Linked DNA regions of Macaca fascicularis. Each later gene encodes a partner of the first gene's protein in a complex. Links are inferred from orthologs where the notes say so. Each region holds a gene or a part of one and is shown in the gene's direction. Other genes may lie near its edges. The genes, in order: CRNKL1, SF3B5, SNIP1, CWC15, SNW1, PPIL2 and RBM48.

Region 1 (4,273 bases):
TCTTTTTTTGAAAGCAATAGCTGCATTGGTAGACGTGATATTACTACATACACAATATATATTTTCCCCAAAAACCAAAAGAGCCTTGCAACTATGAAAATTATTCTAACAAATGTGCTGCCAAGTCGTGTCATTGTACATTTGTCCAAACTCATAGAATGTACAGCACCAAGAGTGAACCCCAACATGAACTACGAACTTTGAGTGATAATGATGTGTCAATGTAGGTTCATGATTGTAACAAATGTACCGCTCTGGTGGAGGATATTTTTGAGAGTTGGAGGCTGTTAAAGTGGGGAAGAGGTATAATAATTGATGGCAGGAAGCTGTTGAGGGGGGAAATCTCTGTGCCTTCCACTTAATTTTGTTGTGAACCTAAAACTTCTCTAAAAATTTGTCTATTAAAAAAATTCTTTTAACTTTTGCTTAATTTTTCCGTTTTTGAGGGCAGGTTAAGTATTATAATAGCTACATTTACTGAGCATTTGTCTTTAATCCTAGTGAAACAGATGGTATTACCCTTGTTTTATAGTTGAGGACACTGAGGCTAAGAAAATTTGAGTAATTAAGGCACACACAGAATTTAAACATATTTCTTATCACAAGACTGAGTTGTTTTCTAGTTACTCTATTTTTTACTTTCATTTTGTCCTAATATCTGGCTTCTAAGTACCTTCTGTTATTTTTAATTCCAAGCCTTAGAGTTAATTATTTGGGCACAACTGTCCAGAAACCAGAAACGAGGGGGCGTGGACCCAGAGACTACAAGACCTAGAATGCAATGCAGAGCCAGACAGCCTAAAAGGGCGGCAGCTCGCCCCTTCGCATACTGGGAATGGTAGTTTCCTCGCTCTCCCTTCGTTCCCCCGCCCCTCGAGCATCCAGATTGGAGCTTCGACCCTACTCCCTTGCAGGGCGCCACGGCTAGACAGAGCCTCTCTTCCTTGCCTGGTCATCCCAGTTCTGGAGGCTGACCTGGGGATACGCCCTTGACGCCCTGAATCGCAGTCCTCGCGTCGCTGCTAGTCAGGCCGGCGCTACCCACCTCACGCGCAGCTCCAGGACGCCGCACTCCGCGCGCTGCTGTAAGGAGGACGCGCAGCCTGGTCCCCATGGAAACGGTGCCACGTCCGTCACGGCGCATGCGAGAGGTCAAAGGTCAGCCTGGCGAGTTCCGCTTCCGATTCCGGGATCCTGTTTGTTGTCGGAAATCTTTGTGGTTTCGGTGAGCTCTCAGACCGCGGATTTCTAGCTTTCGTGCGGGGGACAGGTGCCCCGAGGTCCGCTGCTGCAGACATGGCGGCCTCCACCGCGGCCGGGAAACAGCGGATTCCCAAAGTGGCCAAGGTAGGCGATCGCGAGGGGCCTTGTGGGAGGTGGCCCAGGAGAGGGGCATCCCTCAGCCCTGGGGGTGCCCCGGGCGGGAGACAGTGTTCCCGCCGGGGAGAGGGCCCACCCTGAGAGATGGAGAGGAAGGGTCAGCTGGTGGTGGGGCGCGGGCTCTTGTCATCGCGGAGCACGATGGGGTGGTTTTGCAGGGAGGAGGAGTGGAGTGGTTCAGTGAAGATTTACTGACCCAGGCACTGCACTGGGCGCTGGGAAGCTACGCTCGGACGCTGGCCAGAAGCAGTACTCAAAACACGAGTGTGTGTATGAGGACGATCTTGCCAGATGTTACTGAGAGGCAAAGTAGAATATGCCATGGGCGTGAATAAGGGGGTCGTATGAAGGGTTCCTGAGAGTAAATTTTGCTGAGGAAATGACCTTTAAGCTGAGACTTGAAGACTGAATAGGAGTTAGCCCAGCTGACAGCGGAGGGTGAGAATAGACGGCAGTAGTAGTATAGTATCATAAGTTAATTAAACAGTAGATTTACTAACTGGTATTTCCCTCGATAGCTGATACTTACGAAGTGCTTAATATGTGTCAGAATTTGTCTGAAGCCTTTACAGATATCCTCCCTCCAGTCTTTCTTGAGCCCAGATGACTCTCTTGAACTGGACCTTTACGTAACTATTTGTCTGACTCGCAAAAGTAATGCATGTAGAGCAAGTAACAGTGTGTCTGGCACTTAGTGCTTATTAAATATGAGCTATCACCATTATCATTACTCCACACGTGGCATTAAATAACAATTTTTATAATTCAGCTACGTACACTTTTATTGGGCATCACCGGTCCAATGGAAATACAGTGCACAGCACATGAAATTTTAAATTTTCTCCTATCTACATTAAAAAGTAAAAGCAAAGCAAAAAAAGTGACATTAATTTTGATAATATATATTTTATTTGAACTAATGTATCCAAAATATTATAATTTCAACATGTAATCGGTATAAAAACTGTGAGATAGTTTGTTCTTTTTTTCATACTTCATCTTCAAAACCAGTGTGTATTTTACATTTACAGTCCACCTCAATTTGTGCTCACCACATGTGACTCATAGCTACTGTGTTGGACAGCACAGCTCTAAGCTACGTTAGACTGTAAACTTCTAAGACCTCAAGAAACTTACAGTCTAATGATGGGAACTTATTGAATAGTGCCTTTGACTTGAGGTTCCGTGAAAAACCATACCCACTTTTCCACCAGGGGCATTAAATAAGTTGAAGAATTCTGCGAATGCAGGTGGTAATGCTATTAATAAGATGTGCTACACATCTTGATAAACCCTCTGGTCAGAATTTTACCTACACAGCCTCAAAGTTTATTATTATACTCATCTAAAAGGGAAAACTTGGTATTATTTTTGCCACCTTTTTCTCTTGAGACTTTTACCTGTGGCTTTGTAGTAGATACCATGAATAAGAGAGAAAACATAGTATTTTTTTTTCTTTTTAGTCTCATGGAGGATGGGAACATGTCATACAAAGAGAGCATCTTGTGATAATACTAATGAAGTTCATATCCTAAAAAATGTATGTTTGTTTCTTAAACCTTGTGTGAAGAGCATCTACTAAAAATAGAAATGTCTTGTTCTTAAAAGGTGAAAAACAAAGCCCCGGCTGAGGTACAGATAACTGCTGAACAACTCTTAAGAGAGGCTAAAGAAAGAGAACTTGAGCTTCTTCCACCTCCACCTCAACAGAAGATCACAGATGAAGAAGAATTAAATGATTATAAACTAAGGAAAAGGAAGGTCAGTCAGTGTGGTATCTTTCAGTCCACTAATTGTTAAGAGTGTATCAGTCAGAGTTTGAAAAGCTGGTTGGATTCTGTAGGGCAAGATGAGGTTAGTGTTCCTAGACACATGAATAATGCCTTCTGGTTACCAGATAACAGCATTTTTCTGAACTATATAAAATATGCCTTGAGTTGTCTGGTTAAAGTATAAAACAATTGAATCTGCATAATTTTTGGTACTGAATCAAAAATGGGTGGAAGTTTAGCAGGTGAAACAACGGACAACTGGAAGGGGGTATGCTTAGTAAGGCTGGACTGTGTACTTCTGTCTATACCACCTTCTGTGTTAAGAAATGAGATCTGGCCGGGCACTGTGGCTCATGCCTGTAATCCCAGCACTTTGGGAGGCCAAGGTGGGCTGATCACCTGAGGTCAGGAGTTTGAGACCAGCCTGACCAAAATGGTGAAACCTCATCTTTACTAAAAATACAAAAATTAGCCGGGCGTGGTGGCAAGTGCCTGTAATCCTAGCTATTCAGGAGGCTGACATGAGAATCGTAGGAACTCAGGACGCAGAGTCTGCAGTGAGCCGAGATCATGCCACTGCACTCCGACCTGGGCGACAGAGCGAGACTTTGTCTCAAAGAAAAAAGAGAAGAAAGGAAAAGGAATTGAGATCTGCAAAAGGACTATGAGAAGACTTTGGGATCTGATTTGACCTCTTCACTCTAGAATGTGGGACTGTTTTAAAGCATGAATTCTGTTATATATGAAATTCTGAACGTTACCAGAGGACTTACGGGTAATAGTCAAAATATTTTTTATTAGGGACAAGCATAGACTATTTCAAAGTATCAGTTAGTTGATTGTAACCTTCTGTAGTGGATTTCTTATTCCTCAAGGATTCCAGGATGTAATTTCTCTTAAATATGAACAAAATGAATAACCAGTTTAGTACAAGACTTAAAATAGACCAAGGGTGCTGTCATTTTTAGTCATTTGCCCTTTGACTTGACCCTTTTTGCCTTCTTCCAGACTTTTGAAGATAACATAAGAAAAAACAGGACTGTAATTAGTAACTGGATAAAATACGCACAATGGGAAGAAAGCCTAAAGGAGATTCAGAGGTAAAATTGCTGAAAGTGTAG
Region 2 (2,988 bases), on another chromosome or scaffold:
CCTGGAGCTGTTCCTATTTGGCCATCTTGGAACCTGACCCAACAAAGTTTAAACAGCAGAATAAAATAATTTTCAAGTTATCTCTCTCCTAGTAAAGTTTTCCTTCCCTTCCGTTGTAATAGAGTTATTTAACCATTTATCAAATTTTTGTTTTGGATTTTTTTTTTCAAGTAGCTTCTACCCATGTAAGGAAGTTATTAAACCAAACGGTAGGATATAAAGCAATAACAAGGAAGAGATGTATAACCTGCAAAGAGGAAGGAGAGTTTACATCTGTCTGGAGCAGCCAGAGAAAACTCTAAGGAGATGCATTTGAGCTGCCTTTTTGGGAGATGTATTCACCAAGGGAACAGACATTCCACGTAGAGGGAACAGCTTGTACAAGAAAATGGGTATGGGCACAACAGGTAACACGGAGAAGTACAGTTGTCCCTCAGTATCCGTGAGTGATTTGTTCCATGACTCCCATGGATACCAAAACTAGAGGATGCTCAAGTCCCTGATATAAAATGGCTTGTATTTGCACATATGCACATTCTCCTGTATAGTTTGTCTCCAGATTATTTAACAATACCTAATACAATGTAAATGCTATGTAAATAGTTGTTATACTGTATTGTTTAGGGAATAATAACCTTAAAAAGTCTACACTTCAGTACAGACTGACTTTTTCCCCAAATATTTTCAATCGGGTCGGTTGAATCCACAAAACCCACTGAATGGAAGGGCCAAGTAGGGTGCAGTGAGGCCTTGGAGGAAGGATATCAAAATAAGTGGCTAGAGAGGAAGGAGGAGCTTGAGGTGGAAGCCGGAATGTGTGGGAATTGGTGCTGTACTTGCTCACCAAGCACCCTGGTTAGAGCTGAAATAACTCTTTTATGCCACAGACTCCTAAGAGACATAGCTGGGACCAGAACTTGTGCCTGCCGACTTCTGGGAAATCCATCCCTGGTTGTGAAGGGATGGCTGTGCTACCATGATAGCTTTGGAAAACAGGGAGAGTTTATTTTCGGGGCTGCTTGTAGTCCAGTCCTACTTGGGTTTCCCATTTCCCATCAGCCCCAAGCCACCCACGGATGCTCCCCACCTCCCAGACATCACCCTCCACTAGGTCCCCAGATCACTTTTAAAACGCGACCAGGGGCCTGGCGCAGTGGCTCACGCCTGTAATCCCAGCATTTTGGAAGTCCGAGGAGGGAGGATCACGAAATCAGGAGTTCGAGATCAGCCAGGCAAAGACAGTGAAACCCCATCTCTACTAAAAATACAAAAAAAAAAAAAAAAAAAAAAAAAAAAAAATTGGCCTGGCGTGGTGGTGTGCGCCTGTAATCCCAGCTACTGGAGAGGCTGAGGCAGGAGAATCGCGTGAACCCAGGAGGCGTTAAGTTGCAGTGAATCGAGATCGCGCCATTACACTGCAGTCCCGGTAACAGTGCGAGACTCTGTCTCAAACAACAAAACGAGACCAGGAGTTCCAGAAGCCTACGAGCACGAACTCCCAAGACCACAAGTCCCAGCATGCAAGGCTCCCTGTTGGAAAAGGGCTTCCCATAGCCACCAAGTGGACCATCATGCAAAGCTCTCTGACGGGGCGGGGCTCTCTACAGGGGCGACACACTTGTGGCGTCGCCTCGGCAACTCCAATTCCGTGACAGAATGTGCTTCCGCTTCCGCCTTTGAGCCCTATGAGCGAGACTTACGCTACTTAGTCGTCGTGACGCCATTCTTCTGCGACGGCGCGGGCCGGGAGCTTCCGCACGGTGGCCTCACTCCCGCGTGAAACGCCAGAGCGGCGATTTGTTGTCTGCGTCCTCTGTCCTGGGAACTAAGGGGAAAGCGGCGAGATGACGGACCGCTACACCATCCACAGCCAGCTGGAGCACCTGCAGTCCAAGTACATCGGCACGGGCCACGCCGACACCACCAAGTGGGAGTGGCTGGTGAACCAACACCGCGACTCGTACTGCTCCTACATGGGCCACTTCGACCTTCTCAACTACTTCGCCATTGCAGAGAATGAGAGCAAAGCGCGAGTCCGCTTCAATTTGATGGAGAAGATGCTTCAGCCTTGTGGACCGCCAGCCGACAAGCCCGAGGAGAACTGAGACTCTGCCTTACCACCACTGTGCGGGGCACCTCTCCCAGTGTTCCTCAGGTTGGCCAATCCCTTCGACTATTTCTGCCTCCAAAGGACCGGCTCTCCATGGCTCCTGCGTCTGGTACTTCCGCGTACAGAAGTGCTTGCCCGGGGAATCCCGCCTGACCTGCCTTCATGTGAACCCTTTGGAATAGCACTGGGAGACCAGCAGAACCCCTGAGAACTGTGTTGGTGAAGAGGGCCTAGAGCCGGCAAGCGTTTGAGAAGAGGGCGTGGCGCTGGAATGAGATGGGATTTGGCGTCTCATTTTTGGCTAATTGATTGTCATTGGCTTTTTCCATAAAGTTTAGAAATCATTCACTCTCTTGGTGTGAACTTCCTGTGTTAGGGTGGAGGGCTCCTGAAAGACCCGAGCGGGAAATGGGTCGGGGGAGGGAGTGCATGCCAGTGTCCATGATCAGGTACTTAAATCCACCCTGTCTACCATTATAATTAATTCCCCGACTGCCACTTCTCCCAAGAGCGTTATTTTCAGGCCCACAATGCCTTCAGTATTGAAGTTTGTGGTTATTGTATCCCATTTTCTTTTTCTCCCGTTTTAAAAGTCTTTGCAGTCTTTGCTGTCATTGTCCTCCTTAGCCTCTTTAAAATGCATCCTTTCTTTTTCTTGGGAATTTGTGGCCATGTCTCCAGAAATGACAAGCTGGCAAGTGAGTTCATCCTTTCTATATTCAACAAATATTTGTTGAGCTCTATGTGACAGGCATTTTCCCATGGTCTTGAGGCTTACATTATGCTGGTGGTGGAGAAAGGAGGTCAAACACTGTAGACGTAATAAGTAAATGTTAGAAGATGCTGCGGGGAGGGGAGAACAATGTACGTGGTGTGGG
Region 3 (4,377 bases), on another chromosome or scaffold:
AGGGATTACTAGGCAGAATGAATTAATAAGGGAACAGAGATACATTTGTAAATAGTTTTTTGTTGTTTTTTTGTTTTGGTTTGGTTTTTTTGAAGACAGGGTCTCACTCTGTAGCCCTGGCTGGAGTGCAGTGGTGCCATCACGGCTCACTGCAGCCTCCAACTCCTGGGCTCAAGTGATCCTCCTATCTCTGCTGGGACCACAGGCACGAGCCACCAGCCCCTGCAAAATTTAATTTTTGTAGAGACAGAGTCTTGCTATGTTGGGCAGGTTGGTCTGGAACTCCTGGCTTCAAGCGTTTTTCCTGCCTTGGCCTCCCAAAGGGCCGGAATTACAGGCTGCAGCCTCCGTGTTCGGCTGTAAATAGCTACTTTTGACAGCATAACGGTCTCTGGTCAGGTGTGATTACATTCTTGGGAGGAGAAGAAAGAAACAATTATTCCTTTTGGTAGTCTGTATCTTAGGCAGATAAAGACCTGCGCTTTGGGAGAGATGGTGGGCACCGGGAAGGAACATTGAGGCTTCTTCAGTTCGGCATGTCAGTGCGCCATATTTTGGGGTTTCGATTTCTGAGCCCCAACAGCATTGCAAAAAGTTCAGGAAATAGAAGAGGAAAAGCTAATGATTTGCCCACGGGTTATCATCTCTGATTGCATTTCCATGTCTTCCTCCCTTCTATTTCCAAATGTAAATGTAATTATGGTTTGCGCACAATTTTGTATCCTGCTTTGTCGTTAACAAGTCAGGGTTTTTAAAGTTTGTAAATGGTTTACTAATGGCCACATAACACCCATTAATTTGGCTAACTTCCCTACTGCTGGGTATTTACATTGTTTCCACGTTTTGTAATTACCAGTAATGTGGCAACAAACAGTCTTGAGAGGTTTGCTTTTTCCCAGTTTTTTGTTGTTATTGTTGTTTGTTTGTTTTTGAGACATCTCGCTCTGTCGCCCAGGCTGGAGTGCAGTGGTGCGATCTGCGCTCACTGCAACCTGCGCCTCCCGGGTTCAAGCGATTATCTTGCCTCATTCTCCCGAGTAGCTGGGATTACAGGCGCGCGCCACCACACCTGGCTAATTTTTGTATTTTTAGTAGAGACGAGGTTTTGCCATGTTGGCCAGGCTGTTCTCGAACTCTTGACTTCAGGTGATCCGCCAGCCTCGGCCTCCCAAAGTTCTGGGACTACAGGCGAGAGTCACCACGCCCAGCCAGAAGTTTGTTTTTGAAACTTGAAACTCCCGCCACCCAAGCCGGTCACTGTGGCTACTCCCACTAGGGAGTAGTCACGTGTTTAATATCTGCCGCGAGGATTTCTGGGAGGTTGGGCACCCCGGAAGCGGAAGTCCAGGAGTCAAACTCGTCATTTCCTTCAGCTAGAGGAGCTCAACGGATCTGTTTTCTTTCGCTCAGCCAAAATCACAGAATGAAGGCGGTGAAGAGCGAACGGGAGCGAGGGAGCCGGCGAAGACACCGGGACGGGGACATGGTGCTGCCGGCGGGGGTGGTGGTGAAGCAGGAGCGTCTCAGCCCAGAAGTCGCACCTCCCGCCCACCGCCGTCCGGACCACTCCGGCGGTAGCCCGTCTCCGCCGACCAGCGAGCCGGGCCGCCCGGGCCACCGCGGGAACCGAGCCCGAGGAGTTAGCCGGTAAGTGGGGGAGCAGCCCAGGATGGACGTTGGGTTGGGCTCATTCAGAAAGGCGGGCAGGGCTAGCATCCGAAACAGGTTTTGAATGCTGGGCGCAGCAGCCCGGACTTAATCCTGAGGGACTGTTGAGAGTGATCCAGTCGTGCTTGTGTTATGCTTGCTCTGTCACTTGCCTTATAGCTCGGTGTTCAACGCCTAATGACACACCGGCAGGATCCCACTCCTTCATTCTTGTGTCCCCAGCACTTCGAAGAGTGTAGCCCAACAGATAGCACTGATAATCTGTTAAATTGGAATGAGATTTTCCCCATCCCGCCCACAAATGGAGTGTGGGCCTTGTCTTTCCAGTTACCTGCCAGAAAGGTTTTCACATCGAGGTCTAGGCGAGCTACCTAACAGAAACTGGAAAAATAAAAATAAAAAAAGTTACTTCTTGCTAGACTCATTTATTTATGCATTCATTCACCATAGTTTTACTGAGTGCCTATTTTAAGTGTGAAAGACTGCCCTAGGTATTGGGGCTGCAAGGGCGATTCAGTTAGATGATCTTCACCAGTGCCAAATTGGCCGTGCTCTAACCCTGAGACAGATGATTAAAAAAAAAAAAAAGTTTCAATAACAAGTATTATTGATAGGTTATAACAGTAATGTGATAGAGATTGGAGAGAAGAGGGAGGAGGCCTCTTTAAAGAGGTGCCATTTGAGTCCAGACCTGAGTGATAGGAATGATTCAACCTCTTAAAGATCCAGGCAGAGGAAACAACATCTGCAAAGAACTTGAAGTAGAATGAATTATGATTGAAATGGGAAAAAGCCAGTGTCGGTGGAGTATAGTGGTCAAGAAGGTGGGTGGTAGGAATGAGATGGCATAGGGAGGAAGTAGAACCACAGGATGGAGGGATTGTTCCTGATGCTAGGGGTGTTGGTAGTGAGGGATAAAGAATCAAGGGTGACTTCCGGATGGTGATGCCAGTTAGCAAGATGGCAAGGAGTAGGAGAGGAAAGGTTTTTGAAGGGTTGGAAATTAAGAGTTTTGTTACCTAAGTGAGAAGGTTCAGTAGACAGTTGTCTATGTGAGTATGGAATGCAAGGGAGACGTTAGAGCTAGGAAAATGAACCTCGTGACTCCTTTAATGTGATTGGCAGATACCTTCACAAAAGCAGTGTTTGTGTTAGTAGGTAAGCCTGATACTGGAAGCTAATTTTTATGGGGGAAGGGAAATTGCGATAAAATCCTGTGTACCATGCTCTGTATAGGTCCCCACCCAAAAAGAAAAACAAGTCCTCAGGGAGAAGAAGCAAGTCTCCTCGGAGTAAGAGAAACCGAAGTCCTCACTACTCAACAGTCAAAGTGAAGCAGGTAAGTGGATTGGGGTGTTTTGATGTTGGGTCCAAATTGAGAGCCTTTTCCTATCACAGCTAAAGAGGGCTGTGTGTGTGTGTATTGTGTGTGTGCGCGTGTGTGCACGCACACTCGCCTACATCTCTACCTGTACCTCCAATGGGCTTTTCTGAAAACTGGGTGTATTTCTTTTTTCTGCTTGTTTGCTTAAATTAAACTTTTTATTTTGAGATTATTATTGGTTCACATATGGTTGTCAGAAATAATTCAGGGAGATATACTCTTCCTGGTTTCTCCCAGTGGTAGCATCTATTCATAATAGAACTGTGGTACAATATCATCATCAGAATATTGACATCGATATAGTCAAGATAACATTTCCTTCACCACAAGGAATACCTCATGTTGTCCTTTTGTAGCCACACACACTTATCTCCCACTTTTATCCTTCCTTAACTTCTGTCAACTTCTAATCTGTTCTTCATTTCTATAATTCTGTCATTTCAAGAATGTTATGTAAGTGGAATCATACAGTATGTAACCTTTAGGATTGTCTTTTCTCACTCAGCAGAATCCTTTGGAGATTGATTCAGGTTGCAGCTCTCAGTAGTTTGTTCTATTTCATTGCTGAGTGGTATCCATATGGCATGGATTTAGCCACTTACTCATTAAAGAACATCTGGGTTGTTTCCATTTTTTGGCTATTACACATAAAGCTGCTATATACACATTTGTGTACAGGTTTTTATGTGAACATAAGAGTTCATTTCTCTGGAGTGCAATTGCTGGATTGTACGGTAGTTGCAGGTTTAATTCTTTTAAGAAATTGCCAGACTGTTTTCCAGAGTGGCTGTATTAGTTTCCTAGGGCCACCATAATGAAATACCATAGAGTAGGTGGCTTAAACAACAGAAATTCATTTTCCTGTAGTTCTGGGGCTAAAAGTCAAAAATTAGGGTGTTAGCAGGTTTGGATTCTCCTGAAAAAAATCCTCTTTCCTTGGCTTGCAGATGGCTACCTCTTTGCTGTATCCTTAAATGATCTTTTTTCTGTCCTGGTGTCTTTTCTCAGCCATATTGGATTAGGGCCCTGCCCTCATTTTTTAACTTAATCAGCTCTTTAAAGACCTTATCTCCAAAAACAGTTATTAATACATTCTGAGGTACTTGGGTTTGGTACTTTAACTTGCTAATTTTGGAGAGTACAGTTTAGTCCGTAACAGTGGCTGTACCATTTTATATTCCCACCAGCAATGTATGAATGATCCAGTTTCCCTGTATCTTTATCAGCATTTCAAGTTATCACTTTATTTTAACCATTCTGATAGGTGTGTAGTAGTATTTCATTGTGATTTTAATTTGCATTTTCCTTTTTTTTTTTTTTTTTTT
Region 4 (4,602 bases), on another chromosome or scaffold:
GTTATCTTGGGGCACAGGCAACAGAGAAAAGCTAGTGCAAAGGCCCTAAAATAGAAGGAATCTTGCCCTGTTTCGTAAAACAGAAATGCCCAGTTGGCTGTGTCTAGAGCTTAGTGTGTAAGCGAGTGACTGATTGGAAGTGAAGTCTGGAAGTTAGGCAGGAGCCAGACGCCGTGGCGTCTCAGGTCACATTAAGAAATGTGATTTTTATCCTAAGTGCAGTGAAATTTTACACAGGATAGTAACACCATTTGATTAATTTTAAAAGATCACTCTCTTGGCTATATGCAGCATTGACTGTAGGATAAAAGATGACGCAGGAAGATACAATAGGAAACAATTACAATCCAGGTAGGAGATGGTGTTGGCCAGGACAAGGGTAATGGCAGTAGAATAAAATTTCGGGTAAGTTTTAAAAGTAGAATTGGTAAGACCTGTAAATGAACCGTATGTGAAAAGTGAAAGAAAAGGAATTTAAGTAGGCACTCTGGGATTTTGGTTTGAGTAACTAGTATGATGATCGTGTCCTTTAGTGAGACGTGTAAGACTGGAGGAGGGATACCTTTAGTAAGAAAAATCAAGATTTTCATCTTGAACTCTATGAGTGAAAGGGCTTTTTCTGCTTTTCTTTCTTCATTTAAAAGTTGCAAAGAATTTAGAGGTAAGAAAGCATTTAAATATTCAACTTTGTGAGTTCTTTATATTTTAAACTAAGTTGGGGAAGTTGAATTTTCATTTGTTTAACAAATATTAATTGAGCAGCTACTATATGTCAAGGTCTATGTGATGAGATACTAAGATTAGCTAAACAATCAAGATCTCTGTTCTCAGGATTTTTTTTTATGGAAGGGAGGAGACAGGATTGGTGGGTTTTTGGTTTTTGGGTTTTCTCCTTTTCGTTCTTATTAAAACTTAACACTTAAGTAGCCATCTTAGTAATTACATCTTGTGCTCCTGGCAGTTGGGCCCACCGTTCTAAACGCTGTCGTAAATATTGACATCTCCCCTCCCACTAAAACTAACGTTTTTTAAATAAAAAATTTTAGCAAACATTACGAATACAACCTTTGCTTTGAAGTGTTAATATTTTTGCAGGAATGTACCTTTGTAAAGATCGTGGTTGCCCCGTACATATTTGTTCTTTCTTCATATCCAATTAAATGAAAACACTAGTTTTTCCGAAGCCCAACTCTCTAGGTTTGTTGGTTCTAGCTCAGGAGAAAGGATGGAAGCAGGAGTCGTTGGATTTAAACAGTTTGGTGTAATCCTTTTCCACGCTCTCTCCCGCTAGCCGGGGACGTGGTGTCGGCTACCCGGGGCTTTCCGTCCACGCAGTACCGGAATGAAGGAGTCTGGGAGGGGGTCGGGGACGGAAAAGACGGAAGAGACATTAAGTAATTGGTTCTTGAAGGTATAAAATGATGTTTAGGGTCTACTCTAAGGCACTGATTTCAAACGCCCGCCCCCTGGGCCGTTTCGGCCCCGCCCCCTAGTGCCGTTACGCCGACTTCCACTTCGGCCACTGCGGATTGGTCGTTGCTTCCGCCTCCGAAGCGCTTGGATTTTGCTTCCGGGTCGTAGGCGCTAGCCCTGGGCGCAGAGGTTTCTGGGAGCTCGGAGTCGTAATGGCGTCTGTATGATCTTCGGAGATTGCTGCATCGGACCTCGGCCAGTGTGAGCGGCAGGAGGATAGGTTATCTTCCTCATCCCGGTGGGACGGGAAAGGGCAGTTGGGGTCGGAGTCGGCGGCAGAGTGCAGAGTGCGGGCGGTGGAGGACCTAGAGCAGCGGGCTAGGGGCGAAACGGAGTGCCTGTCAGGCGCGTCCGGAGCTCTCGGGCCCGCAGAGGAGATCGCAGCATAAAAGGCAGCGCGCCTACCGCGTAAAGCGAACCCCAGGTCCTCCTTTCACTACCCCTCGCACCCCTGCGGCGCTGGGCACGGGTTAAGGGGCAACGAGTTTCTGGTTATAGCCAAAGACTAGCTCACGAGAGGCCGGAGTAATAATTCCGTTAGTGTGTGGGAAGGGGCGGACTCCCAGCTCCAGATAACCCCGTTTCTTCTTTGTATACATGTCTCTTACTCTTTTTGAAAATTAGGAGAAAGCACTCCCCCCCACAAAAAAAAATCCTCCCAGTTCGCCCACCCTCCCCACACACTTGCTTTTCCGACACTAACAGGGTTTTAATGACTGCATCTGCTAGGCAGTATTCTTGTGACTGCTCCAAGCAGAAAGTAACTTAAGGAATGGGTCCCTGATTTTTGTCATCAGAATCCTCTGGGGCTGAGGTTCCTGTTTTGTTTTTGTTTTTGTTTTTTTTGAACAGTCCTTAAGTTATAACCCACAAACGATCTGATTTATAATATGATGCCTGTTGTAGGAGAAAATTGGCTCAACAAAAGGTTAAGAATTTTTTTCTATGTACCTGTCATTGAAGTTTAACACACTTTCCTTAGTAACTTTTTTCTCAGACACTTAGTAACTTTGTCAGTGATATTTTTTGTTTGTTTTTAGCTTTTGTTTCTACTAGCCTATTTGCTATTGTGTGAAGTTTAGATAAAATGCAAACCTTAGAGAGTCTGGTAGAGTAAGGTTGAGTTGGAAATTTTTAAAACTTAGTCATGGTAGTACTGTATTTTTCAAGGCTTTTGACATGTCAAGTGTCATAATTCTTATAGTAATCCTATGAGGAATATCTCCATTCCACGGATGACAGAAAGTTAAGCCAGGTGACTTGCTCAAGCCCATATAGTCAGAAGGAGAATAGGGATGCAAACTCAGATCTTCATGACAGAATTTTTTGTACTAAGACAAGCCGGAGAAGCCCTATTCGTTGTACGGCCTAAGCCTCATAATTTGTTTTCCTGAAAACTTTTGTTTAAGAAGATTAAGCAGGTTTAGGGGAATGAGTTTTAGAATTTATTTCACTAGTATGGATATTAATACTCTGTAAAATGAGTGTTTGTATTGTTGTAAATAACTTGATTATATTTTTCTTCAAAGCATAAAAGATGACAACAGCAGCCAGGCCAACCTTTGAACCTGCAAGAGGTGGAAGGGGAAAAGGAGAAGGTGATTTGAGCCAACTTTCAAAGCAGTATTCAAGCAGAGACCTACCCTCTCACACAAAGATAAAATACAGGTAGTAAGACTTTCTTTTTTTTCTTTCTTTTTTTTTTTTGTTGAGACAGAGTCTCGCTTTGTCGCCCAGACTGGAGTGCAGTGGCCGGATCTCAGCCCACTGCAAGCTCCACCTCCCGGGTTCACGCCATTCTCCTGCCTCAGCCTCCCGAGTAGCTGGGACTACAGACGCCCGCCACCTCCCCCGGCTAGGTTTTTGTATTTTTTAGTAGAGACGGGGTTTCACCGTGTTAGCCAGGATGGTCTCGATCTCCTGACCTTGTGATCTGCCCATCTCGGCCTCCCAAAGTGCTGGGATTACAGGCTTGAGCCACCGCGCCCAGCCTCTTTTTTTTCTTGTTCACAAAACAAGACCAAATCTGTTAAATGGCATGGTCATGATATAGTAGTATGTTCGAGTTATGTCACTTATCTATTATCATAGGATTAGAATGCAATAGGATGTTTAACACTAAAATTCTGCCCTGTGGTTTTAAAATGCAAAATTCCTACTAACCAGAAATTTTCGTATGTAGATACAACAATAAATAACAGAAATAATAATGCCTCAGAGAGATTATGCACTATCAGCACCAGTCAATATATTAAAAGTATTACTGTTAAGTTCTGAGTTGATAATACCAATAAAAATTAAAGACATTTTAATCACGTAAAGCCTTATTATAGGAAAATACGTGATTGAATTTGGACTTCTTGAAATATTGGGAACATCACAAGAGTGGCTGTTAGTAACTTTCAGATTAGATTATGATCTTATCTACTTCCCTTTTTTATGCTTGAAGGACAAAGTCTCATTCCTGAATTGTCTTCCATTACCACAGTCGTGTGTGTGTGTATGTGTGTGTGTGTTTAAGTAACATTTTTGCCCTGGTTTGTTTCTACTTTAGACAAACTACTCAGGATGCCCCTGAAGAGGTTCGTAACCGTGACTTCAGGAGAGAGTTGGAAGAAAGAGAGAGAGCTGCTGCAAGAGAGAAAAACAGAGATCGTCCAACCCGAGGTACCAACACTATCCAAGACATTTATCTCTAAAATTATGTTGTTGATAGTTTTTCTTTTATGTAGCAACTGGAAAATATTAACCATTTGTTTGCTTTTACAGATTGATGTGAGCTGTAATACTTTCTTAAGTCATTAGAGATAACAATAACAAATATTTACCAAAGGCTTATTTGCCCAGGCACTGTGGATGTGATTTCACTGTGGATAATGCTTTCAGTGTGGGCTCCTCGTGCCCACAGGTCCCTAAAACATTTTAAGAGATGCAGTATTTGTTTTACTAAGTTAAGTGATTTTTGTTTCCCCTCAGAACATACAACCTCCTCTTCAGTGTCAAAAAAGCCACGGTTAGACCAGATTCCTGCTGCCAACCTTGATGCAGATGACCCTCTAACAGATGTATGTTTTGTTTTCTCCTTTCATCTCTAATAATTGATTTACCATGTTTTTCTGAAATACTTGT
Region 5 (3,837 bases), on another chromosome or scaffold:
CTGTGTTTTCGTTTTTGTTTTTTTGGTTATGTTTTGTTTTGTTTTGTTTTGTTTTTTGAGGCAGAGTCTCACTCTCACCCAGGCTGGAGTGCAGTGGAGCAATCTCAGCTCACTGCAAACTCCACCTCCCAGGTTCAAGTGATTTTCCTGCCTCAGCTGGGATTACAGGCATCCGCCACCATGCCTGGCTAATTTTTGTATTTTTAGTAGAGACAGGGCTTCACTATGTTGGCATGGCTGGTCTTGAACTCCTGGCCTCAAGTAATCCACCTGCTTTGACCTCCCAAAGTGTTGGGATTACAGGTGTGAGCCACCTCGCCCAGCCGGAAAAACTGTAATCGATTGAGACAGACAGACAGATAGATTTTATGGCAGAAGGAATAGCCAATGTAAAGATCCTGAGATGGCTTAAGGTAAGATAAGAAGGCTATAGCGAAATGAAGATGGTGAGTGCCGGGGAAGAGTGTATTTATTTCTCCTACAGCATTTAAGGAGCTCCAGCTGTGAAGTTAAAAGTCTTGGAGCATTAGGGATGAAAGAAGTATAAGGTGTGATTCCTGCAGAGCTGCTCACAGTCTTGTGAAAACAGAGTAGATAAATGAGTAGATGATTGCAGTACAGTAAGATAATGTTGTAGTAGTGGTATATAGAGGGTTGTAGGGGAGCATAGAGACGGGCATTTAACCCAAACTGGAAGAGTCATGGTACAGCCCTAAAACTATCAAACATACGGAACCTGTATTGAAAGTGCCTAGATACTATGCCAACAGGTTCATGGATTTCTCTCATTTAATATTTATAAGAACCTTATGAAGTAGATACTCTTATGAACTATTATTACAGATGAGAAAACAGATTCAGAGAGGTAAGTAGCTTATCCAGGTTAGTAAGTGGCATAGGTCAGATCTGAAATCTAAGCCTAGCCATCACTTACCGCCCCAGACTGGATTAGATCCCTATCATGTAGACTCATAGCATCTTAGTATCTTAACATCATAACTTAACATGTGTAATTATAGATTTGTGTGATTTTTTTTTTTTGTTCTCTGTCTCTGCAAGACTCCGTTTATAGTCTCATGCCTAGCATAGTGCTTGAACCCAAATAATAAATATTTTTGAATAATTAATAAGCTCTGCTACTTAGGTATGCTTCCTATCCAAGAATCACAAAGGAACTAAGGTTGTTTTCTCCATATTCAGCCATCAGGATCCTTTTGTAGTACTTTAGAGTATCACTATAATACTTTAATACTTAAAAGTTGTTAAGAACAGTTTAGTAGAAAGGTTACCTTGACTAAAGAATAAGCTGCATCTTCAGGGCTTCTGCTTTGATTCTTTGGTCTCTTAAGGTTTTTTTTTGTTGTTGTTTGTTTGTTTTAGAAGGAGTTTTGCTGTTGTTGCCCAGGCTAGAGTGCAATGACGCAATCTTGGCTCACTGTACCCTCCACCTACCGGGTTCAAGTGATTCTCCTACCTCAGCCTCCCAAGTGGCTGGGATTACAGGCACGCACCATCACGCCCGGCTAATTTTGTATTTTTAGTAGAGACAGGGTTTCACCATGTTGGTCAGGCTGGTCTTGAACTCCTGACCTCAGGTGATCCACCCACCTCGGCCTCCCAAAGTGCTGGGATTACAGGTGTGAGCCACCATGGCTGGCCTGGCCTCTAAGTTTTAAATTTCATTCTAGATTCCCTTGGCACTTAAATATACAACTCGTGTTTATTTTAGCTACCTCTTTGTTCTAATCCTAGTTCTTTTGTATTTACACTGAAGTAGTTTAAGGAGCATAAGGGTAAAAATGTTAAAAATAAGGAGTAGCCAGGCATGGTGGCTCATGCCAGTAATCCTAGTACTTTGGGAGGGTGAGGCTGATGGATCACTTGAGGTCAGGAGTTTGAGACCAGCCTGACCAACATGGGCCAACATGACAAAAACCTGTCTCTACTAAAAATACAAAAATTAGGGGTGTGGTGGCACGCACCTGTAATCCCAGCTCCTTGGGAGACTGAGGCATGAGAATCACATGAATCCAGGAGACAGAGGTTTCAGTGAGCCGAGTTTGCTCCACTGCACTCGAGGCTGGGCAACAGCACGAGACTCTGTCTCAAAAAAAATAAAAGGAGTATAAGAATAGCAAGTATATACTGGACAGTTTATCCCTGGATTTTTAGGAATGTTTACTTGCTTGTTATAAGAAATATGGAAACAGGCTGAGTGTGGTGGCTCACACCTGTAATCCTAGCACTTTGGGAGGCCGAGGCAGGCAGGTCATCTGTGGTCAGGAGTTCGAGACCAACCTGGCCAACATGGTGAAACCCTGTCTCTACTGAAAATACAAAAATTAGCTGGGTGTGATGCCGCACATCTGTAATCCCAGCTACTTGGGAGAGTGAGGCAGGAAAATTACTTGAACCCAGGAGGTGGGGGCTGCAGTGAGCCGAGATGGTGCCACTGCACTCCAGCCTGGGTGACACAGAGAGACTGTGTCTCAAAAAGAAAAAAAAAAGACAAATATGGAAGCGTGGCCAAATGTGGTGGCTCACGCCTGTAATTCCAGCACTTTGAGAGGCCGAAGTCAGCGGATTACTTGAGGTCAAGTTCAAGACCAGCCTGGCCAACATGGTGAAATCCCATCTCTACTAAAATTGCAAAAATTAGCGTGGTGTGGTGACACATGCCTGTAATCCCAGCTACTTGGGAGGCTGAGGCAGGAGAATCACTTGAACCCAGGAGGCAGAGGTTGCACAGAGTGGAGATGGTACCACTTTATTCCAGCCTGGGCAACAGAGTGAGACTTTTTCTCAAAAAAAAAAAAAAAAGGGAAATACGGAAGCATAAATGCTTAAGAGTTTGTCTATTATATGAAATATATGTTAATTTTTTATTCTGGATATCATTTGCTATTGTCCTAGTCAGATGTTTTTACTGTATGTCTTTGAGTACTTCTGTCTTCCACATGTTATAAAATGACTAATATTGAGTACTACCATAAATCATTGAAAAATCGGCTGTTTCGCTGAAAAGTAAAAGCATTGTAGGAAAATTTGTCTCTGTGGCCAAGTTGCAGTGGTCAAATTAAACATAAGCGTTTTTTAAATTTCTGACTTTTATTATCTTTGCTTATAGCTTTTTACCCGCACCTACTCAGCTATCTCAGGACCAGCTTGAGGCTGAAGAAAAGGCAAGATCCCAAAGATCGCGGCAGACCTCACTGGTCTCCTCCCGAAGAGAGCCTCCCCCGTACGGATACCGGAAAGGCTGGATACCTCGGTTATTAGAGGTACATATGGATCTTAAGTTTAAATTTATTAAGTTGTGCTGAAATTTATAGCACACTATAACATAAATTTAAATGTTAGGACCTCTGATTATGAATGTCAGTGTGATAGAAATTCTGGTTATGCGCTCTCAAGATGTATATTTTGCTCAGAAGATGTATCATTTTCTTTTTGCTTATTATCTGTCACTGCTTTGTGGTCACTAGAGAATTGTACCATTTGTCTATTCCTATATCAAACTATTAAATATTTACCAGAAAACTAACATTTTGTAAATCCAGGAATTATAGCATATGGAAAATAATGGGAAGGTAAAAAGATAAGAGAGATGAAAGTGGATTTCATGTTTGGGCTCCTCCTCCTCCCCTCCAGTAATACCACATAACCCTGAAGAGAGAACTTTCTTTCAGGGAAAACTCCAGTAGCACTTCCTTTGCTAATTTCTTTCTCTTCACTTGTTTTCTTACCTTTAATTTGAGAATGTTAATATATATATGATATATAGGTTAAATATGTTTTTGTGGGTATAAGAGACAAAATTTGGTTGATTTGAAGGCA
Region 6 (3,470 bases), about 36 Mb from region 1:
GCCAGTAGTTTAAGACCAGCCTGGCCAACATGGTGAAACCATGTCTCTACTAAAAATATAAAAATTAGCCAGGCATGGTGGTGGGCACCTGTAATTCCAGCTACTTGGGTGGCTGAGGCACGAGAATCGCTTGAACCCGGGAGGCAGACGTTGCAGTGAGCCAAGATCGCGCCACTGCACTGCAACCTGGGTGACAGCGAGACTCCGTCTCAAAGGGAAAAAAAAAAAAGACTTTTGGGATGAATGAGAACGCGACAGACCCCAGCTGTGAGCCTTCAAAAAGCCCTCAGAGGGCAGAGCCAGAGAGGCTGAAAGGAATACAGTGGAAGATACTGGGTGGGTCCCAGCACTGGTGGCACGGAGCACCCCAGGGTGGTGCAGGCAGGCACAGCCCACATACCCTGCTGGTGAGAGACAGGACCTAACCCCCGCTGCATCGAACATGCACCCCCCCAGCCACGCAGGGACATGATCCTGAGCCCACCGAGTCTGACCACCCCCAAGGCCACCAGACAAGTGTCCACAGATGTCACGTCTACAATGGGGCAGACCTGCGCTCTGACCTGCAAGTGGTTCTCTCTGGCTGATTTCTAACACAGTGAAGGAAACTAGAAGCAGAATTAAACTCAGATACGAGGAAAGTAAAAGAACCATCCCGAGGCAAGCTCCTCCTGGAAATTTTTTTTTTTTTTTTTTTTTTTTGAGGCGGAGTCTCGCTCTGTCGCCCAGGCTGGAGTGCAGTGGCGCGATCTCGGCTCACTGCAAGCTCCGCCTCCCGGGTTCCCGCCATTCTCCTGCCTCAGCCTCCCGAGTAGCTGGGACTACAGGCGCCGCCACCACGCCCGGCTAATTTTTTTGTATTTTTAGTGGAGACGGGGTTTCATTGTGTTAGCCAGGATGGTCTCGATCTCCTGACCTCGTGATCCGCCCGTCTCGGCCTCCCAAAGTGCTGGGATTACAGGCTTGAGCCACCATGCCCGGCTTTTTTTTTTTTTTTGAGACAGAGTCTCGCTCTGCCGCCCAGGCTGGAGTGCAGTGGCGTGATCTTGGCTCACTGCAAGCTCTGCCTCCTGGGTTTACGCCATTCTCCTGCCTCAGCCTCCCGAGTAGCTGGGACTACAGGCGCCCGCCACCTCGCCCGGCTAGTTTTTTTGTATTTTTTAGTAGAGACGGGGTTTCACTGTGTCAGCCAGGATGGTCTCGATCTCCTGACCTCGTGATCCGCCTGTCTCGGCCTCCCAAAGTGCTGGGATTACAGGCTTGAGCCACCGCGCCCGGCCGGAAATTTTTTTTTTTAAGACGGCGACTCGCTCTGTCACCCAGGCTGGAGTGCAGTGGTGCCATCTCAACTCACTGCAACCTCTGCCTCCAGGGTTCACGCTATTGCCCCAGCTGTTCTTCAACTCCTGGACTCAAGCGGTCTTCCTGCCTCGGCCTGCCAAAGTGCTGGGATTACAGGCGTGAGCCACTGTGTCTGGATGACCTGAGCATTTTCTTTGTCCATGTTTATGTTACCCACGTTTCTGAATCCCTTGATTTCTGCTCTGGCTTTGTTGCCTCCTTTCTCCTCAGTCCTTCGACAGGTCCCTTGATGGCACGGGGCTGGCTCTGGTTTTCCAGGTGTCACCTTGTCCCAGCCACCTCCCACAGACCTGCATGACCAGGCTGGCTCTGGGCACAGGGACTCCCTGACAGGCACTGGGCAGCAGCCGGGGCAGCAGGAGGACCTGGGGACAGCTGGAGGTCCGGGGTTCCCTGGGCAGCCTTGGGGAGCTGATGACCTGCCCTGGTGGGCAGCAGCAGGGAGCCCCATGCACCCACGTGTCCACGGAAGCCGCAGGTTCCCAGAGCCGACTGTAGAGGGTGGGCAGCTCCTGGTGTGCTCTCAGGCAGGCCAGATGCAGAAGGTGCCATGCTCTCCCTAACCATCCAACCCTCCTCCCCAGCTTCATCACGTTTCGCTCCTGTGCCTACCTGGATAAGAAGCACACCATCTTTGGACGGTAAGGGAAGCGGCTGTGTGAAGCCTGGGGGTCAGTGGGCTAGGTGGGGTCCTTCCCCACCTGAGGCCTCCTCGCTGCCTTCTCTGTGGACCTGAGCCATGTGCCGTGCTGGCTGTCACTGCTGGGGGTTGAGGCTATGCAGAGCTGGGACAGAGGGTGCTCCCTGTGCCAGGGAAGTCTGGCTCTCCAGACCCACCGGGCTCAGGAGAGGAGGAAACACCCCTGCGTGGCCTGGCCGCTGCCCTGTCTCAGACCTGATGGCGCGCCACTCACAAGCCTGGCCACGCCCAGCTCCCTTCACCCTCTAGTCCAGGGGTCTTTCCAGCATTGTGGGCCGCGTGGTCTCTTGACGCCCACCCAACTGTGTGGAAGCAGCACAAAACAAGGTGGATGCAGGTGATGTGGTTCTGGCCAAGTGGAACTCTGTTACCAAACCAGTGGGGACAGCACAAGCCACATTTGTGACTCCTATTTTTCCTGTGGGTGGGGAACCAAAAGAGAACCAGAAAAAAAACCCAGCTGGATATGCCCAGGGCCATGGTCTGCTGACCCCGCCCTTGCCACGCCCTCTCATCGCCTTCCTGGCTGCTGCCCGAGGACCACCAGGCCAGCCTCGGGGCTCTCAACCCCTCTTCCCACATGCCTTGGTGCCCGGCCCTGAGGGTGCCCTCCTTGAGCACATGCAGACCCGCCTCTGTCTCCCTGCTGCAGTGTTGTTGGGGGCTTTGACGTACTGACAGCCATGGAGAATGTGGAGAGTGACCCCAAAACTGACCGCCCTAAGGTCTGTGCCCAGGGAGGTGGGGCGTGGCGGCTGGGGGCCAGGCAGGCGGGGGGAGGACCTGCCGTGCACTGAGTCCCCTCTGCTGCTAGGAGGAGATCCGCATCGATGCCACTACAGTGTTCGTGGACCCCTATGAGGAGGCTGATGCCCAGGTGAGGGGGCACGATGCCACCACCAGGAGGGTCTGGGCCAGCGCACCTTCCCACCCCAAGCCTAGCATCTGTCCTGCCCGAGGTGCTGCTGGTCAGCCTCCACCCTCTTGTGCCACAGATCGCCCAGGAGCGGAAGACACAGCTCGAGGCAGCCCCGGAGACCAAAGTGAAGAGCAGCCAGCCCGAGGCAGGGAGCCAGGGCCCCCAGACCTTCCGCCAGGGCGTGGGCAAGTACATCAACCCAGCAGCCACGTGAGTGCCGCGCGGTTGGCCTCTCTGTTTCCCATGGTGTTTCCTAGGGCTGACTGAGGTCTGAGGGTCAGATCCAGAGGGGCAAGAAAGCCACGGGCACTGGACCTGGGCATGGGCTTGTGCTGTGTGGCCTCTGCAGCCGAGGGACTACCTCTGAAGGCCTGGCCGGGGCCTCTGTGGGTGGAAGCCATCGAATTCAGGGGGACGTGGGAGCAGCAGGTGGGAGGGGTTGGTCCTATACCGGGAGGGCCGTATGGAGATACAGACAAGTCAGGAGGG
Region 7 (3,837 bases), on another chromosome or scaffold:
TGAAGTAAGACATCTGGATTTGAATCCTTGCTCCTCAAACCAGAGTATGAGCATGGCTAAGTTATGTAATGTCCCAGTGCTTCCGTTTCATTACAGGGTTGTTGTTAGGTGTTAATTCAAGTGAAGCACTTACAACATTGCCTGGCATATGGTAAAATCTGAGCAAGTATTTATCATTATCCCTGGATACAGAAGTAGTTATATTTATTGTAGTACCTGGCCAATCATAGATGTTTAGTAAGTATTTATTGACTGAATAACATTCTTCTCATTTTCTCATTGTTATATGTTTAATAGTTCCTCAGTTATTGAACGTTTTATGATTATAGTATTTTTCATCTGATTTTTAAGGCAAGAATCCCATTACAGAAATACATTGTGCTGAAAAAGCTTAATTGGGTATGAAGTAACTCTTCAGGGCCACAGAGAAAAGCTCTATTTTATGACCACAGTTTATATACTTCAGGCCAACCAGCTGGGTCCTTAGTTGTTTAAAGACTAGGAAACAAAGAGGCTCGAAGGGAAGAAAAGGGGAGGCTCTAAGTACATACTCGAACAATGGAATGAATACTGTCCACAAGCAGAGCATCTTAATTCCCAATCCACAGGATATATATACACATAGCAAAAGTTGGACTTTGCTCTTTAGATCCAGATATTGTATACTAGTTAAGCTTTCATCCCAAGTAAATCTAGATTAAAAAACCATGCTATCTTGTATTTCCATTCAGGACAGCCAAGAGAAAAATGGATGAACAGAGTTTCTTTGGTGGATTGCTTCATGTGTGCTATGCGCCAGAATTTGAAACAGTTGAAGAAACTAGAAAAAAACTACAAGTGCGTAAGGCATATGTAGTAAAAACTACTGAAAATAAAGGTATGGAAAGCATATTGCTAAATGCCTCCTGTATGTCAGGTACTCTGCCAGGTGTATCATCATGCAATTCCTAGTCTAGTGGGAGGAGAGGCAAGTAAAGCATCACAGTATTCAGTAACTGTAAGGGTTCTCTACAGCACACTACATAATCTGGGTTGAGAAGGGAGAAATGTTGGTTCATAGAAGACTTCCTACAGTATGTGAGAAGTGGCTGAAATTTGAAGGATAAGTAGACATTAACTAAAAGGGAGAGGAAAAGATGGAAAGGCAAGCCAGGCAGGATGTTTAAGTGTTTAGAGGAATAAATGAGCATCATGCATTTAAGGAAATTTAGTTAATACAGTATAACCAAAGCTCAAAGGTTTCAGTGAGAGATAAGTTTAGAAAAGTGGATAAGAAGTGAATCATGAAGGGCCTTGTGTCCCATGCTAAGGAATTAAGGCTTTGACCAGAATGCAGTGAGAAGCAGTTATGATTTGCAGACTAGTTGTCACTGCTAATCATGGAGAAGTTCTACTTTTGACCAGCAATTGACTAAATGCCCCCATATGCCCCTTCTACCAGATAGTGGTAGAGAGAAATAAAGTGGGAAAACTCTTGGAAAACTTACTCAGAAATCTGGCAAGAGAGCTGTTGAGAATCCCCAGTCATCTGTATCCATTGAAGTCTAACTTGTAAGATAAGTAAATAAATAGCACCAGGAAAACTTAATGTGTTTGTATGACAAAGGACATTATAAAACATTAATGTGGAGAAAGACCTTTGACATTATCTGACCTGTGTCCTAATTTTTCTTGGTGAGGAAACTAAGTCTCAGAAAGTTTGTGACCGGCCTATATTATTAGAGATGAATTAAGGACAAAAATAAGGATTAAAACCCAAGCTTTGGACTCTTTCTCCAGAGCTTACTTTTTAACTGCTTTAATTATCTCAGTGTTGGTGTGACAGCCTAGGGTTATCTTCATTATTTGCTCCCCTTCCTCTTAAGATCTTTTTGCCGTGCTGCTGATCTCAGAATTAAACCTGACTTGCTTGGCCTTGGACACTTCAGTTAAGCTGTCTTTCATCAGCATTTTAGCATCTGTGCGATGCATTTGTATACTTGGTCTTACTTTTCAAAAACTCTTATTATGGAAGTTATTGTTATTATTATTATTATTATTATTATTATTTTGAAATGGAGTCTAGCTCTGTCCCCCAGGCTGGAGGGCAGTGGCGTGATCTCTGCTCACTGCAAGCTCCGCCTCCTAGGTTCACGCCATTCTCCTACCTCAGCCTTCGGAGTAGCTGGGACTACAGGCGCCTGCCACCACGCCCGGCTAATTTCTTGTATATTTAGTAAAGACGGGGTTTTGCCGTGTTAGCCAGGATGGTCTTGATCTTCTGACCTCGTGATCCACCTGCCTCAGCCTCCCAAAGTGCTGGGATTACAGGCGTGAGGCACTGTGCCTGGCCTGGAAATTTCAAAACACAAAGGCAGAAAGACTAAGTTAATACATCTCCCATGTATTAATATTAACATCAACAATCATCAACACATAGCCAATTTCATCTATACCACATCTTCCACACTCCATGTTGTAGACTGCTTTTGGGAGAGTAAACCAGGGAAGAGGCCCTTGCCAGCCCTAGAAGTGGGACAAGCATATTGCTTTCTTTAGTAACTGACAAACACAAGCTAAGGAGCATGATACATCCAGATAGTGGAATACTCTGAAATTGTTAAAAAAAAAAAAAAAAAAAAAAAAACTTTCTGTATAATGGTGGAAAACCTATATAAGATCTACAGTGAAATGGAAAATGCAGAGGTGCAGAGAAATGGATATTACATTTACCTTTTTTAGTGGGGAGAAAAAGAATGGGAGAAAGGTGGCAAAGTAAAACTTACTGAACAGATAAATAAAAAACAATAGTGATTACTTATGGGGATGAAACCAGACCCATGGAGTGCAAGGAAAGGGTGACACTTGATGCTGTATATCTTTTTATCCGTTTTAGGTTTTAAACCATGTGAATATATTCCCTTCTCAAGAAACAGTTTTTTTGGAGTATAATTTGTTAACATTTTTAAGTGATTTTTAAAAATTATATGATTCTCAATGATGAAAACAATAGATTAACCACTTATGTTTCTCTTTCCCTCAACTTTTAAATTGTAATATAAAGACCATAACGTGACAAAGAAGAAATTGGTTACAGAGCATAAAGACAGAGAGGATTTTAGACAAGACTTCCACTCAGAGATGTCTGGCTTTTGTAAAGCTGCTTTGAACACTTCTGCAGGGAACTCAAATCCTTATCTTCCGTATTCCTGTGAATTGCCTTTGTGTTATTTCTCCTCAAAATGTATGTGTTCATCCGGGGGACATGTGGACAGAGCATCAAACTCCTCTAAGGATGGTAGAAATCATCATAAAACAATGGGGCATTATAACCACAATGACTCTTTGCAGAAAACACAGATAAACACTTTTAAGAACTCAGTGGCCTACCCTGGTGTGCAAAAGGCTATTACGTCTTCAGAGGCAGTTGACAGATTTATGCCTAGGACAACACAACTGCAGGAGCGCAAAAGAAGAAGAGAAGATGATCGTAAACTTGGAACTTTTCTTGAAACAAACTCAGGTAGTAATGAGGTTATGATTGGACCTCTGTTACCAGACATGTCTAAAGTGGATATGCACGATGACTCATTGAATACAACTGCGAATTTAATTCGGAATAAACTTAAAGAGGTAAGGTTATTTTTAAAAACTGTTCTAAGAGACGATTTGGTTATAGGACTAAATGGGGAATTATTTGTGGGAACAATAGTATTGTAATTTTTTTCACTTTTTAGTTTTTTGATGTGTTTTTCTATAGTTCTCTGTTGAAATAACTGAATTTGGCTAACATTTTATTTGCTTTGAACTGTTAATACTTGCTTTAAACAATGAACAGACATTTTATATCACTGTAGA

What was found.
Region 2: CRNKL1 (region 1) and SF3B5 share a complex: the UniProt entries of both Homo sapiens proteins name them as parts of the minor spliceosome. The link is inferred for Macaca fascicularis from reciprocal best matches to the Homo sapiens genes CRNKL1 and SF3B5.
Region 3: CRNKL1 (region 1) and SNIP1 share a complex: the UniProt entries of both Homo sapiens proteins name them as parts of the minor spliceosome. The link is inferred for Macaca fascicularis from reciprocal best matches to the Homo sapiens genes CRNKL1 and SNIP1.
Region 4: CRNKL1 (region 1) and CWC15 share a complex: the UniProt entries of both Homo sapiens proteins name them as parts of the minor spliceosome. The link is inferred for Macaca fascicularis from reciprocal best matches to the Homo sapiens genes CRNKL1 and CWC15.
Region 5: CRNKL1 (region 1) and SNW1 share a complex: the UniProt entries of both Homo sapiens proteins name them as parts of the minor spliceosome. The link is inferred for Macaca fascicularis from reciprocal best matches to the Homo sapiens genes CRNKL1 and SNW1.
Region 6: CRNKL1 (region 1) and PPIL2 share a complex: the UniProt entries of both Homo sapiens proteins name them as parts of the minor spliceosome. The link is inferred for Macaca fascicularis from reciprocal best matches to the Homo sapiens genes CRNKL1 and PPIL2.
Region 7: CRNKL1 (region 1) and RBM48 share a complex: the UniProt entries of both Homo sapiens proteins name them as parts of the minor spliceosome. The link is inferred for Macaca fascicularis from reciprocal best matches to the Homo sapiens genes CRNKL1 and RBM48.

What each region holds. Positions count from the first base shown.
Region 1 is NC_088384.1:67,253,004-67,257,276, forward strand, and holds the start of CRNKL1 (crooked neck-like protein 1), read left to right. Parts: upstream 1-1,182; 5' UTR 1,183-1,296; coding exon 1,297-1,347; intron 1,348-2,988; coding exon 2,989-3,141; intron 3,142-4,160; coding exon 4,161-4,252; intron 4,253-4,273. UniProt on the Homo sapiens protein: Involved in pre-mRNA splicing process. As a component of the minor spliceosome, involved in the splicing of U12-type introns in pre-mRNAs.
Region 2 is NC_088378.1:48,298,878-48,301,865, reverse strand, and holds SF3B5 (splicing factor 3B subunit 5), read left to right. Parts: upstream 1-1,768; 5' UTR 1,769-1,844; coding exon 1,845-2,105; 3' UTR 2,106-2,454; downstream 2,455-2,988. UniProt on the Homo sapiens protein: Component of the 17S U2 SnRNP complex of the spliceosome, a large ribonucleoprotein complex that removes introns from transcribed pre-mRNAs.
Region 3 is NC_088375.1:197,372,413-197,376,789, forward strand, and holds the start of SNIP1 (smad nuclear-interacting protein 1), read left to right. Parts: upstream 1-1,359; 5' UTR 1,360-1,423; coding exon 1,424-1,647; intron 1,648-2,904; coding exon 2,905-3,007; intron 3,008-4,377. UniProt on the Homo sapiens protein: Required for pre-mRNA splicing as component of the spliceosome. As a component of the minor spliceosome, involved in the splicing of U12-type introns in pre-mRNAs. Down-regulates NF-kappa-B signaling by competing with RELA for CREBBP/EP300 binding.
Region 4 is NC_088388.1:93,956,595-93,961,196, reverse strand, and holds the start of CWC15 (spliceosome-associated protein CWC15 homolog), read left to right. Parts: upstream 1-1,596; 5' UTR 1,597-1,897; intron 1,898-3,002; 5' UTR 3,003-3,010; coding exon 3,011-3,141; intron 3,142-4,027; coding exon 4,028-4,140; intron 4,141-4,449; coding exon 4,450-4,538; intron 4,539-4,602. UniProt on the Homo sapiens protein: Involved in pre-mRNA splicing as component of the spliceosome. Component of the PRP19-CDC5L complex that forms an integral part of the spliceosome and is required for activating pre-mRNA splicing.
Region 5 is NC_088381.1:145,710,974-145,714,810, reverse strand, and holds part of SNW1 (SNW domain-containing protein 1), read left to right. Parts: intron 1-3,127; coding exon 3,128-3,281; intron 3,282-3,837. UniProt on the Homo sapiens protein: Involved in pre-mRNA splicing as component of the spliceosome. As a component of the minor spliceosome, involved in the splicing of U12-type introns in pre-mRNAs.
Region 6 is NC_088384.1:31,438,602-31,442,071, reverse strand, and holds part of PPIL2 (RING-type E3 ubiquitin-protein ligase PPIL2), read left to right. Parts: intron 1-1,946; coding exon 1,947-2,003; intron 2,004-2,714; coding exon 2,715-2,787; intron 2,788-2,876; coding exon 2,877-2,939; intron 2,940-3,057; coding exon 3,058-3,191; intron 3,192-3,470. UniProt on the Homo sapiens protein: Has a ubiquitin-protein ligase activity acting as an E3 ubiquitin protein ligase or as an ubiquitin-ubiquitin ligase promoting elongation of ubiquitin chains on substrates.
Region 7 is NC_088377.1:128,832,697-128,836,533, reverse strand, and holds part of RBM48 (RNA-binding protein 48), read left to right. Parts: intron 1-731; coding exon 732-877; intron 878-3,043; coding exon 3,044-3,612; intron 3,613-3,837. UniProt on the Homo sapiens protein: As a component of the minor spliceosome, involved in the splicing of U12-type introns in pre-mRNAs.